2 linked regions of the Pelodiscus sinensis genome follow. The protein of the gene in region 1 purifies or fractionates together with the protein of each later gene. This does not show direct contact. Links are inferred from orthologs where the notes say so. Each region holds a gene or a part of one and is shown on either strand. Other genes may lie near its edges.

What was found. The genes of interacting proteins can lie anywhere in the genome.
Region 2: the proteins of LSM1 (region 1) and PATL1 purify together in Homo sapiens (co-immunoprecipitation; 3 studies listed by BioGRID and IntAct, with this or other methods). This does not show direct contact. The link is inferred for Pelodiscus sinensis from reciprocal best matches to the Homo sapiens genes LSM1 and PATL1.

Annotation. Positions count from the first base shown.
Region 1 is NC_134738.1:15,375,912-15,382,895, reverse strand, and holds the start of LSM1 (U6 snRNA-associated Sm-like protein LSm1), read left to right. Parts: upstream 1-3,966; 5' UTR 3,967-4,077; coding exon 4,078-4,123; intron 4,124-5,291; coding exon 5,292-5,360; intron 5,361-6,984. UniProt on the Homo sapiens protein: Plays a role in the degradation of histone mRNAs, the only eukaryotic mRNAs that are not polyadenylated. Probably also part of an LSm subunits-containing complex involved in the general process of mRNA degradation.
Region 2 is NC_134714.1:126,410,744-126,418,104, forward strand, and holds the start of PATL1 (protein PAT1 homolog 1), read left to right. Parts: upstream 1-4,354; 5' UTR 4,355-4,379; coding exon 4,380-4,499; intron 4,500-5,047; exon of another isoform or gene 5,048-6,098; coding exon of another isoform or gene 6,099-6,131; intron 6,132-6,183; exon of another isoform or gene 6,184-6,444; coding exon of another isoform or gene 6,445-6,513; intron 6,514-6,898; coding exon 6,899-7,010; intron 7,011-7,297; coding exon 7,298-7,361. UniProt on the Homo sapiens protein: RNA-binding protein involved in deadenylation-dependent decapping of mRNAs, leading to the degradation of mRNAs. Acts as a scaffold protein that connects deadenylation and decapping machinery.

The sequences.
Region 1 (6,984 bases):
CTGCCCTCATGGCAGAACCAAGCACCGTCTAGATCATGCCTAAAAGGGCAAAGGAACCACGCTCTTGGGGATATTGCCTACATGGGATTCCTGGGTCCTTCCTTTTCAAGGGAAACCAGCCCTTTCGTACTGGGGTATTGGCTTGAACCTCTGCCCCAACAAAACAAACCTTTCAGTTTCAAAAGAAACAAGAGGCCCTTCTACCGTACCTGGCTCTGTAACTCAGGTCCAGCTGGGTATTGACTTGGATAGGGAGCTCTAGACTGCACCGCTGAGTTCCAGTAGTTGGACCCATATCCCGGATAAGGAGGCTGTTCCTAAGGAAAATAAAGCAGCTCATTTTCTCATCGCAACAGTCATGGTTCCAGGGCCCCTGTATTCCTCCCCTCCGGACCAGCAAGGGCGGCTACTCTCAGATTTCTGCTCCCCAGCCATCACCTCTCCTAGCAGAGACACGTCTCTCTCCTTCCTGACTGGGGTACTTCCAGGCTGCACAGATCCTTGTCTGCACTTTGATTGCCCCAGCTGAAGTGGCCGCACAGCTCTAAGCAAGCAGGTTTCAATCTCATGATAAAAATCATTGCAGAGAAAAGCGAGAACAACAACAGACTGACACCCACGGTAATAAGCTCACCAGAGATGCTTCCCGAACTCCAACAAGGCTTCTGACAGGTTACCAGACCCTCCAAGCCCAACACCGGAGTGTTTTTGTGGCCACAAGTTCATACCAGCTTTCGCTCAGAACAAGCACTTCCCCACCCCACACATCGGGGAATCCGGGTCTGTCTACACTGTGCAGCTTTTAGCAACAAGGCCCTGTCGCTACACAGCTATGAGAGAGAACACTGGTTTTCGGCAGTTTGCTGACAAAATGCTCCTTCCCCCCACTGAACAGGCTTTGTTTTGTCAGCAGGAAAGCGCGTGCACTCCCCCCCCCCGCCCCGCACACACATTGCTTTTGCCTTTGTTATAGTCAAGCTTATCGGAGGCCTTTCATTGCGAGAGGGGGCTGCTAGCAGCCCGGATCTGCCTGTTAGGAATGCATGTGGATCACTGGCAAACCTTGCTCTGAGCTGTACATGTACACAGCCACCGCTGCAATCCTCATCTCCAAGAACCAGGCTGTGCTCAGGCCAGGTGGATCAGACCATTATCTTACTACACCAACAGAGTGAGGAACCTGTTACTGATGCACCATCTTCAGCACGGCGCTGTCATCCACTGCCCTCTGGCGCCAGGGGGGCTGAAATTGCTTTACTACACAAATGAGCCTCACACTTCCCCTGGGAAGTTACTCCTCCAATTGTACGGGATATAAGGAGCTCACCAAGCTGCCTTGTGGGGGGTCTGTACAGAGAAAGGAATGGAGAGACACAGCCCCTTTCTAACAGCATGGTTTAAACACGTCTCCACTCTCAGCAGACCTCTCATGGCTTACAGGAAGACAAGCTTCAAGCTCGGGATCCCCACCTCGCAGACTAGAACGGGGTGATGGCAACATGTCATTTCAGGAGTTGGATGCTCTGGGTAATTTCACTTTTGACCCTGAATATAACTCTGAGTGTTCTTAACCTTAAAGTAGACGAATTAACTTTTGGAGTCCCACAAGTAGCATTAACTCTAGAAACCACCATTTGATCCACTGGGCCCATGCCGCTTTGGATATGAGAATGCAGGCCTCTGGTTTTCTGATATCTCTTTTCTTTTTCTTCTACAGTTTTTCCCAAGTCTTATAACCAGTAAGTTACTAGACCCCACTACCCAGCTAACTCTACTGCACCTGCCACATGGGTGATGCTTATCAGTTCTGGTTAACTGGTGGGGGCTAGAGCTTCAGCCCAGCCAGAACAGCCCCGTCTATGGCAGGCTCAGGTGCACCACCTGCAGGGGTGCTCCAGCCTCTGTCCGCAGCAGGCCCCGACTGCGGTGGAGAGGCTGCTCCAGCCCAGCTGTGGGTTAAACATTACATTTAACCAGTTAACCAATTCAATAGGATTTGACATCCCTAATTCTGAGAAGATACTTGGCTACCACTACAACGATGTCTAGACCCACATTCACCTGCAAAAAGGACCAAACATATATACAACCACAGTACCGCTTTGCCTCGAACGGCACAAGAAAATGGGTTCCCTGAGGGAGGAGGTTGGGGGGTGTTAGTGCAGAGATTGTAAAGAGCCCATGGTTTGTATTCATGTACCCTCCCTGCCCCATGGGATGAAAAGAGGCAGCATTAGAGCTAGCAAAAGATTAGACAATGTCTAATAATAAAAAACGTGAAGAGAATTCATAGCAAGACCTGTTGCAGTGCTGTGGGGGAAGAGACTGCCTGCACAGACTGCTGTATGTGAAACATAACACACTCTGTAAAAGACCTGAAAGGGTATTTTCAAATCTTCACACCCAATGCAATTCCAAGCCTTTTCCAAGCTTCTCCCCTGTCCAGGCTAGCTGCCAGAATCAAAACCTCCTCCCTCTCCAGATGCTGAGGTGGCACAGAATCACTTTCCAGTAGTGGTTAGAAGAATAATACTCTCATACAGCAGGCTCAAGCCTCTTTGTTAGTGCACCAGTGGGACTGTGTCAAGGCAGCCTTAAGGGCGAGGTGATGCAGAGTTGGCTTCTGATCACAGTAATAACAAGAGAAATGCTAAATCAATTAAACAGAGCAAAGATTCAGGAACAAAGGAGCGATTTAGCTTAACTGCATCTCAGAGCAGCCACCTCTTCCACACCAGGATAGCGACAGACCATAACACCCAAGGCATCTGCATCACTGTTCCCTATAAGCCGAGCGCTTGGGCAGTCACCCGGGAGAGATACCGCCCAGCTGATTTAGCAGAGCACTCATAGCTGGCAGCAAGTGTTTTGACTGGTGGTGCACATCTGCACATGCCTCAGTGCATGTAACAAAATTTACAAGGCACATGGATGGAAAAAATTACAGGGAACATGCACCCTGGAACCGCAGTTTCCTTCCCCAGCTCCCGTCAGGTGTGTTCATAAGGGAGCCCCCACCTCAGGCTCCGCAGCAGGTCAAAGCCCACGGATTTCACTCCATCTCCCCCCACCCAGATTAGGACCAGCCCCTCATCGATTCTGCCCATGCACCACCGGGGCACAACCCTCCCCCATCTCACTCCCGCCAGGGCAGGACCCTCCCCAACAAACTCCAGCCCCCCTCCCCAGAGACAAGCCCCGCCCCCTTTTCACACCCCTCCGGCAGGACCCTCCCCAACTCACTCCAGCCCCTCCCCCCAGGGACAAGCCCCGCCCCTTCTCACCCCCCCCGGGCAGGCTCCTCCCCCCAGAGACAAGCCCCGCCCCCTCTCACCCCTCCCCCCCGGGCAGGACCCTCCCTAACAAACTCCAGCCCCGCCCCCCAGGGACAAGCCCCGCCCCTTCTCGCCCCCGGGCAGGCTCCTCCCCCCAGGGACAAGCCCCGCCCCCCGTTACCTGAGGGCCGCCCCGCCCGGGCCTGTCCCAGGCGCCCCCCGCCGCGGGGCTGTAGCCGCCCCCGGCCCAGCTCGGCCCGGCGCCGCGGTGCTGCGGGCAGGCCCAGGGGCCCGGGGGCGGCTCCGGCTCCGGCCCGTGGAGCAGCCGCCGCAGGGCAGACATTCCCAGCGCCGCTCCGGGCTGCCAGCCGCCCCGCCGCGCCTGCGCGGAACCCGCCAATCCCCGGCCGCGACACAGCCCCCCGCCCCATCGTGACCAGCTCCGCCAATCGCCACGGGGGGCCCAGGCCAATCGCCTCAGCCAATCCCTGGCAGGGTCCCGCCCCTGCCGAGCGCATCGGCCAATCAGACCTAGGGTTCCACATTCTAAGGAGGTCAACACAAACGTACCCAATCAGCGTCAACTTTCTTCCCCTCAGCCCCCGGTTCACCAATCGGAGAAGGGCACACAAGGCCCGGGTCTTAAAGAGACAGGCACAAAGCGCCCCTTCGCCAGCGCTGCCTGCCGCCAGCGAGCAGTGAGGGGGCGGGGCTATTTCTGCCCCGCCCACCGCTGGGCGGGTCCATCCGGGGCCGATGGCGGCGCTTCCGCTGCGTGAGGGGGCGGCGGGCGCGGGGCAGGATGAACTACATGCCGGGCACGGCCAGCCTCATCCAGGACATCGACAGTGAGTCCGCCCCGCCCCCCCGGGCCCCCCCCCCCTCGGGCCCCCGCCCCCTCGGACCCCCCCTCGGCCCCCCCGCCGGGCCCCGCCCCCTCCTCGGGCCCCCCGGGCCCCGGGCCCCCCTCGGCTCCCCCGCCGGGCCCCGCCCCCTCCTCGGGCCCCCGCCCCCCCGGACCCCCCCTCGGCCCCCCCGCCGGGCCCCGCCCCCTCCTCGGGCCCCCGCCCCCCCGGACCCCCCCTCGGCTCCCCCGCCGGGCCCCGCCCCCTCCTCGGGCCCCCGCCCCCCCGGACCCCCCCTCGGCCCCCCCGCCGGGCCCCGCCCCCTCCTCGGGCCCCCGGGCCCCCCCCGCCGGGCCCCGCCCCCTCCTCGGGCCCCCGCCCCCTCGGACCCCCCCTCGGCCCCCCCGCCGGGCCCCGCCGGGCCCCGCCCTCTCCCCCTCCTCGGCCCCCCTCCTGGCCCCGCCCCCTCACTCTCTCGGTCTCGGCCCCGCCCCCTCCCAGCCTCCCCCGCCGGGCCCCGCCCCCTCCTTGGCCCACGGCTCCCACTGGGCTTCTGGCCCCCACTTTCCCGGCGGCCCCCTTCTCCTCAGCCCCCTTCCACTGGGCTCCGTGAGCCCCCCCTCCCGACTCCCGCGCAGGTCCTGCCGCTTCCTCGGCCCCGTTCCCGCACCCCTCTCCCCACTGGTGCGGGGAAAAAATTGGTTGAGCAAAAACAATTTTAAAAAAGGCACCAAAAAGGAGCGACTGCGCCTTTCAATCCCCTCCGCCCCCACCAGGCATGGCAGGGGGAGAATGAAGCATGTCCCCAGCGGCCTTCCCGCCGAGAACATGTTCCCTATTTTCTGGTTGTTTTTTTTTAACAAAACAGAAGCCGCAAATACCGGACTGTCTGGGCCGATCCTGGACACCTGGCAACCCTAGCCCTGGGGCCACACCAGCCTGGGCCCTGCCACCCCTCCCTGTCGGGGTGCAGCCGTGGGCCCGCACAGACTGTTCCCATAGCAATGTCGGCAGGCCCCATGTCTGACCCTTCCTCAGGCTGAGCCTGGCCACTTCCCCCCAGTCCTGGCTCTGGGGACCTACCCTGCCCCAAAACGGAAGGTTGGATCCATTTTGGCCAGTGGGGATCATGCGGTGTGTCCGGCGGGTGCTGATTTAATATCTCTTCCAGAAAAACACTTGGTCCTCCTTCGAGATGGTAGAACACTAATAGGATATTTACGGAGCATCGATCAGTTTGGTACGTGAGCAAGTGGCCTCGTTCTTAGTCTAAACCGTCTCTGCCTCATGCATAGAACCCTGCAAATCCACAGTTATTGGCTTTATATCCATGCGTATCTGCATCTGCAAATATCCACTGCTCAGTGTTATGGATTTGGATGCAAACTTTGTATCTGGACCCCTACAAATCTGTAGATGTCCACTTTATATTTGCAGGTGTCCACATCCATGGATCATATTTTTAGATGCAGCTACCATAAATCCACTGTTTATAGTTCTTCAGCAGACAGTGCTGAAAGCTGCTGTTCCATGGGTAATGCATGTGTGTCACAAGCCTTTGGCCTGAGGCAAATAGAAGTCATCTTGGAAAAGTTACAGTTGCCGAAGCCAGTCCCTGAGGTGAGGACAGGTTATTGCTAGTAATCAGCGTTGGTCTCCATGGTGCTGCTGCTTGGAGGTATTTGCTGACAGATGTTACAGTGGCTGCTGTTCTCAATGCTGGAGAGGGGCAAAGGAGGCTATTTCATTGTGTGTTTGACTTTTAATTCTCCCTCTCTGCTCAGACATTCCCTAGCCCCCTTTTGGTATGTTCCACTCCCCTTCTTGATTGCAAAGACCTTTGCACGTCAGAACTCAATAGCTCTGGAAAGGCTTCTCGTTTCAAAATCGGTGAAAATGTTTTATCATTTTAAACCAGGGGTCGGCAATCTTTTCAAACCGAAGAGCCAAACGACATCAACACTCAGAACAAGCGGCCAACAAAGAGCCGCATCACAATGCCTGTCTACCTGACTGAAAATATTCGACTTCATGATACTGATAATTGACATGAGGCTCAATCAGAGCATAAATGAAACCTCGTACTCCCAGACTTATTCAATGGGGTTTCTGCTGCTGCGTCTTTTCGCACATTTCTTTGATGTTTACATCACAACTGGTCACGTTCAGGTTCATGCCGCATTCAAGCTACACGAGTCACGGCGCATTTTTAAAATTTTGAATTCATTTTTCATTTTAATGTGAAAAGTGGCATGTGTTTTGGGACTGACACGAGCCGGATTTGGTTCCATGCTGAGCCAGATTTGGCTTGAGAGCCACAGGTTGCAGACCCCTGGTTTAAAGACCTTGACTCACCCCTAGGGGGAGCCAGGCACCTCCCAAACAGTGCTCTGAGAGCCGAGAGGAGCTGAGTGGATGGCCAGTTTGGCTGGAACAGACTAATGCAGCCACCTCTCTGAAACCTGTCAGTCTGCATGACGCTGGTGAAAACAGAGCAGAGTAGGTGCTGCAGTGCGGGACGGTGACTCGGGGCGGGGGGGAGGCACGTGGCAGAGATCTTACACCATGCACATCCCTGCTTTGCCCAGCTGTGAGTCGAGATCTCTTCACGCTGCCCCTCCCTCTGGGTCCAGCCCTGGCAGAGAGAATCGCCAGGTGTGCTGCAGCTGCAGTGGCTCCTAGTATGAAACTCTCGGGGGTGGGAGGCAAGGCAGTCTCTGGAAGGCTGCAGGTGCAGCCCGTGGAGATCAAGATGAGTCTGTCTCCTCCCTGCAGGGATGCAGGGCAAGCCCCCCTTTGACCCAGCCATGCCAAAGCCCCATGCAGACACTGCGCTGCTGGGAAGATTAGCCAGGAATGATCTT
Region 2 (7,361 bases), on another chromosome or scaffold:
AGAAATTCATTAAAACTGACCCTGTCCTACAAAAAGTTTCTTTTTGATGAACTGGCATTTTCTGGCCAAAAAAAAAAAAAGAGTTTTGTAAACACATTCCTAGCCGTTTCTGTGCTTCCCCTGCTGGTATCCCAAAACATAGAATCACAGAGTTTAAGGCTAAAAGGGACCATCCAATTGTTTGGTCTGACCCTCTGTATATCACAGGCCACCAACACCACCCAGCATCCACACACTAAATCTAATAACCAAATCAGACCAAAGTATTAGAGTCTACAGCAGACTAGACTATTATGTGCCACAGGCAGAGAACAGGACAGACTGAGGTGCACTGGTGCCTGAGACTCCAGCAATGGCAGGGAAATGAGTAGGTGAGATATACCCAGATACTTCTGGCAAGTGTCCCGCATCCACATGCTGCAGAGGAAAGTGAATCCCACCCAATTCCTTCCTGACCCCACATATAGCTATCAGTCCAGGGGTGGGAACCTTTTTTGGGCTGGGGGCCGCTGACCCACAGAAAAATCCATTGGGGGCTGCACACAGATGAGAAACAAAAATACCACTCACTAACGTTCTCCTGACTAAGAAGGAGAAAGACACTCCCCACAGTCTCCCTCACACATCAGAGCAGTGGTCCCCAACCATTTGAAGCTGCCGGGCGCCAGAAGGCGTGGCCGTTCGCCTGTCGGGCGCCAGAGGGCGGGGACACTCGCGCACCTGGGGGTGGGGCCGCGCATACGCCACACCCTCATGAGCCATGTGCCTGGGGCCAGCAACCCTATGCGCCACGTGGCCAAGGGCGGGAGGGCCGCCCATTCACAGCAAGCCTGGTGCCAGCATCCTCCAGAGCTACACGCCCAAAGCTGGCACTCCTTCCCCCATAGCTGCGTGCCCGGGGGCGGGGTGGCCAATTCGCCGCGCTCCCAGGGCCAGCGCCCCCCATAGCCGCACGCCCGGGGCCGGCGCCCTCCATAGCCATGCACCCGGAGGTGGGGCGGCCAATTCGCTGTGCGCCCGGGGGCCAGAGCACCCAATTCGCCACGTGCCCGGGGCCAGCTCCGGCACTGCACATGCGCCATGCGCCCGGGGTGGGGCCAGCCCCGAGCACTTGGTGGGCACAAACAAATGCCCCCGCGGGCGCCATGGCACCCACGGGCACTGTGATGGGGATCACTGCATCAGAGTCTAGGGAAGTCCAGGCTAGTAGATTTTGTGTGCTCCAGGGCAACAGGGGGAGGGGGAGAGAGCTGGAGCTGTAATGTACATGTAACCCACCCTCACCCATTTTGCCTAGTGCTCTGTCCCTGCTAAAGGTGGCTGGACCACAAAATAGAGGCTGATTTGACTGCTTTAGCCCTGGCTAACAGAGAGTCTCAGGAGCTGGATCCAGACAAGCCAAGACATCCAGACATTCAGCCCTCGAGCCTCAGGTTCCCCACCCCTGAATTTGACCCTGAACAGAAAATGCCCTTCCACTGAGCATCTATGCAATAGGTATTCACTGGGCCCAGAAAATGCCCATGCCCAGGGCACAGTTACATAGTGGCTGCAGGAACATCCCAGAAGAAGCTTGATTTCTTCCTGCCAGCATGTGAGACTCCGGAAAGAAAACTGGCTGTGCATGCAGAAGTGAAACTGACTGAGCACAAAGTATCTGTTTCATTTTCACTTTCTTTCCACCTCAGTCTCTTGGAGCATTGATCTGCAAGCCAAAGAACATCAGACAGCAGCTGGTCTGATGTTCCCACAGTAATGTACATGTAACCCACTCTCACTCATTCTGACTAGTGCTCTGTCCCTGCTAGAGGTGGCTGGACCACAAAATAGAGACTGATTTGCTTGCTTCAGCTGTAACTAACGGAGTTGTCCCTAGACTGGAACATCTTATGCCTTAACATCCAAAGGCCTCTGGGTCAATCCCTGCTGTTGACAACATACTTGCATTCCACAAAGAATGAATCATAATTAACAACATCCACTTCCACAACTGTTTTCTTAGTTATCCAGGTACCCTTCCTAAAACAGAGTCCTACTATTTGTTAGACCAGGGCACTGGAACTCAGGAACCTGGCATTCTATTCTCACCTTTGCTGAAATCCTTAACTGTAGTGCCTCGATTTCCCCAAATGAAACATGAGGGTAATAATAACGATGCACCCACTATTTTGAAAAATACTTTGAACATCTATGTATATAATACGTTGATTATGAATTGTAATCATTACTATTATTAAGTTATAATAATAATAATTATTAGTATCTTCCTGATTATGTGCTTGGTATGGCTGGAGGGTGAATAAAAAGGGTAAAGCAGAAAGAGAGTGAATGATAAAAACATGAATTTTGTTATGTTATTTGTATAGCACGAATAGCATGCATAGCACTGTATAGACAGGAATAGAGAGCAGGTCCTTCTCCTTGAAAGCTGACAATCTAAGCAGTCAATGTACAGATAGAGAGAAAAGGCCATAACAAAAGCCATGTACGTGGGTGGGGAGGTCTAGCATGTGCCATCAGGATACCATGACTTAAGAGGGATGGGGGCTGGTAGAGATTTTCTTCAAGGTCAGAATCTGTGCCTTTTACGCAGTGTCACCAAACCCAGGCATGCAAAAATCATGAGTCAGGTGCCCACAAATTCATGAGCTGGCACTAAGAAAAGCAGGAATTTCAGCAAAGACACCAGAAATGAAATTATGTTGGTCCTGGACACAGAGACACAGGACTTGGCTGTAAATTGGTGCTTGAAGTGGTAGGCAAAACAACTAAAAAAAGGGGGGGGTCATCACCCCCTTATCTGCCCTTCCTCTCTCCAGCAATTAGTTCTGCTCCCCCATCCCCAAACCAGTTCTATCCCCCTTAGTTTCACAAACACACCATCAATTTTGCCTTCACTGTTCTGTCCCCAGCCTCACTGTTCCCTCCTGATGGGAAGGAGAGCGCCGCTTGTCTTCTGTAGCTGCTCTGATTGGCTGCTCTTCCCCAGGAGGCAAATAAGTGAGGAAAGCCGCCAGTCAAGAAGGGTTTCTCCCCACTGATGTGGCAGGACTGAAACATGCACTGATCTCTGAACTTTTACCGTTTGGCTCCATGCCCCAGGGCACTTTACTGACTGGCTGTAATGGATAGAAAGGGGATTCCTGCCTGAGGCTGTTTGACACAGATTGGCTTCACTCTGCTCTTCCAGACCCCAGACTAACAGCCCGTAATGTCTAGTGTCATCAAACAGACTTAGCCTGGGGTAGGCAATGGTAGGAGGAATTGAAGAGATAGAAAGATAGAGTGTATGAGGATATCTAGATGGAGTGTATGGGGATAGATAGATAGATAGATAGATAGATAGATAGATAGATAGATAGATAGATAGATAGATAGATAGATAGATAGAGTGAATGTGTGGGGATAGATGAGAGAGAGAGTGAAAGATGTAGGGTGTGTAGGGGATGGGGGAAGGGAGGAAGCAGCCTAAGGTTTGCTTACTTCCCAAGGGGCACAATGCAGAAGCACGAGGAGCAGGAAGAAGATCCCTGAAGCTGTGTTTGAAGGGGGACTTGCAGGAGGCGGGGGTCACGCAGGACTGGGGCCCCCAAAGAGCAGCAGGACGAAGCAGCCTGGGGGTGGGTAACTGAGCAAAGAGCATGAGGCTGCCCAGGCTGCAGCAGAAGCAGCCGGGGAGTGTGGCACAGGCGGGGCGGTGGCCCCCGTGTGCGAGGCCTCCTGGCAGTGCCTCGTGCGGATCCCGGGGCCCTGGCGGGGCGGCTCGGCCTTTCGGGCAGCAGGGCTCTGGTGCCCCATTGGGTGTGTGGGGGCTGTTGAGGCTGCCCAGCGCTGGGGCAAATCAGTGAGGGTGTAAAGAGGGGCCTGCCACTAGGGAGACCTCCCCCAGCCTTCAGTGCTCTGGTCAAAGGAAAAGGAAAGAGACGCTGTCCCTTTAAGAGGCCACAGGCAGAGAAAGGGACACTGGCCCTTTAAGAGGCCACAGGCAGGGAAAGGGACACTGGCCCTTTAAGAGGCCACAGGCAGGGAAAGGGACACTGGCCTTTAAGAGGCCAAAGGCAGGGAAAGAGACACTGGCCCTTTAAGAGGCCACAGGCAGGGAAAGGGACACTGGCCCTTTAAGAGGCCACAGGCAGGGAAAGAGTCTCTGCCCCTTTAAGAGGCCACAGGCAGGGAAAGAGTCTCTGCCCCTTTAAGAGGCCACAGGCAGGGAAGGGACACTGGCCCTTTAAGAGGCCACAGGCAGGGAAAGGGACACTGGCCCTTTAAGAGTGGCCCCAGGCGCTGTTTCTTTAACAGCAGGAGCAGGGCCGCTAGACGTAGTGCGCCTGCGTACCGACAGGAAAGGCCGGGGAGGGTTGCGCGATGACGTCATAATCATGTGTCCTGACGGCGACGCATGCGTAGCGAGGGGCGGGGGTTCGGAGCCGGAGCGGGGTCCGCGCGGAGCCTCCCTGGCGGTGGGAGTCTCCGCGCCGCTCACCATGTTCCGCTACCAGGTGAGGGGCTGCCCCGGGCACCGCCCACCCCGCCTGCGACCTTTGACCTCTGACCTCCGCCCCTGCGCTACTTCTCCCCCGTCCCCCCCCCCCCGCTCGGAGCCCCAACTTCCTCCTCGGTCACGGGGCGGGGCTGGCGGGAACGGCTGGGGGGTGCCAAAGGGGCACGGCCGGGGGGGGGCGTGGGCCAGAGGAGCACGGGCTGGCGGGTGTTATGGGCTGGGGGGGGCTAGCCCTGGGGGGGGTGCAGGAGGGGCACGAGCTGGAGGGTCATGGGCTGGCAGGCTAGGTCTGGGGCGGGATTGCAGGGGAGTCTGAGGGGCACGTGTGTCTGGGGGGTGGGGCGTGGCTGGGGAGGCTTGGGTATTTTGGACATTGTTGGCGGGAGCTGTGGGGTGGGGTTGGGGCTGGAGGACGCAGTTCTGAGAGGTGGGGGGGTGGGTCAGGGATTGTGTCTGGAGGGGCATAGGATTCTGGGTGGGTACAGGCAGGGGGTGTTGACTGGGAGGCCTGGCTTGTGGGTGTGTTGGGCTGCTGGGGGAGGTCTGTGGGAGGTACCTTTGGGGAAGCATGAGCTAGAGGGCCTCTGTAGGGAGTGGTGTGATTTGGGGAGGGGTCTCAGTTGTGTGGATGTTGGGCCACGGTCCAGGAGGGCCCTCTGTTGCAGGGTGCATGGTCGGGTACAAGCCAGTGTGGCGGGGGCACACATGGCGCAGATACTGTGGCCTGGAGTAGGGGGCTCTGAGGGTGATTCTACAGGGTGTGGGCTGGGTCGTCCTTCAGAAGGAGGTAGCATGACCGATAGGCTAAAGCTGCCTCTTTGAGGTGGGAATGCAGAATGTGGGCTGGGGTCAAGGTGACTGAGGGGGCTGCATGGGCCATAGTATGTACCTTTCTTAGGATGTGCGATATGAAGGGTGCATGTCTTTTGGAGCAGGAACTATTGGGGTACAGGCCTGGGGCTGCTCTTTTGAGTCTGATGTACATGGGGGGGTATGTGCATCTGAGTTAGATTCTGGTTATGGGATCAGGAGGTGGCACAGAGAGATGCCCGGGGATGTTGGCCAATCAGGTTAGATTTGCTGATACAGGTTGAACCTCTCTAGTCTGGCACCACTGGTGCTGAACCAGAGAATTTGCCAAACATGGGAGGTCAATATTGTTAAGCAGCATCGCCAACACTTCCACTACTTACTGGGATCTTAGAAGACATTTAGGGGTAAATTAGAGCTGAATCAGAGCACTGAGAGCCAAGAATGATGGCTGTAAGCAAACTTTATGGGACCATGGGAAACTTGGTCAGACCTAGGATAGGGGACTAACTAAAATCATATTGGACCACAATTTTTGCCAGATGAAAGAGGTTCAGCCTGTAAGCTGATCCTAGTCTGTCTGCTGTGTTAACTGAAAAGTTGTGTGCTTTTAGGTGATGGGACTCAGAAAGTGAACAGTTTGAGGGAGAACCTAATTGAGTGGTGGGTATGGCGTAGCGCGTGCTTGCTGGCCACTATGTTTTTGTGAACTGAGGCTAGGAGCACACTTGTTTCTTACCCAGCTGGCTTGGGTCAGAGAAGGCATTTGAGTGGACACTCTTGGTCCATGCTGGGAGGCAAGGATACATGTGTCTTACATGTAAGTTATGTTTGTTGTATGGTGTATGTCAGGTACCATGTTTCAGGGTGTGCATGGGAGGAATATGGGGCATGCTTGGTCTTGGTAGGAGAGTATTCTTTGTATTTCTCTGGCTCCTGTCACACTCACAATCTTTAGCATATTTATCATTGTAGCACCTGTGTAAGGCAGGGCTGTGCTATTTTCTCTTTGTACAGATGGTGAACAGGAGCCCCAAGAGACTTAGTGACTTGCTTGAAATGTCACAGTGGCAGAGCAGGGAAATTGATCCCAAACTGGACCCCGTAACCGCTGGACTTCCCTCCTTCCCCTCATGCTGTCTGGGGAGGTGTGCTTGAAATGGGATGTTTATCTGTGGGGTGGCATTCTTTGTAAGGAGGGGGTGAGTGAGAGAGAGAGGAGAATTATGTCTTTCCTGTGGGATGCACTTAGTCCATGATTGGGCAGAAGTACCTTGTTTGATGGTCGTGGGTGCCCTGTGGGTGGGTGTTTTGGGACACGCTTGCTGGGGAGTAACGTGCCTTGTCTGAGGAGTTGTGTTTAGTGTGTGCTGGAGGTGATGACTCTTTTTCTGCTGAAGGGCCACGCTTGGGATGTGCTGATATAGAGAAATGAGACCATCTCCACAGAATGGTTCAGACAGGCTCAGAGCCCTAGCTTTGGACACGAGGTGACTGAGGGAAGCCCACTTCGGTGATGCTGAATGGGCATGTCAAACTGACTTTTCTGGAAGCCGGTTCATTGTTCTTTCTTTGCTCTTTTCCAAGTCCCTGGAGGACTGTCCTCCGGATGAGGATGAAGATGCTTTTCAGACCCTGGGTGAGGAGGATGAAGATATCGACCAGTTCAATGATGACACGTTTGGAGCTGGTGCTATTGGTGATTGCTGCATTTCCCATTTACTGCCTCATCTCTGTTCCTAACTCTACTTCAGGGGAATGCCATAGCTGGCTGGAGATCTTCTTAGTCCTGCCCTTAGCCACTCCCACTCCTGCAGCTCCAGTCGTGGGTTGCTCCACCTAAAGCTCTGCTGATGTCCCTCAGTCTGACCTGTAGCATTTCCACACTATTCCAGTCCATTGGTGCCCGGGAGGTATAATTGGCTGCAGCATAAATGAGTGGTACTGAGGTGCCAGCCCTGCTTCCTTTCTGTGGTTCCCTTGCAGATGATGACTGGCAGGAGGCACATGAGCGGCTTGCAGAACTGGAAGACAAGCCTGCAACAGCTAG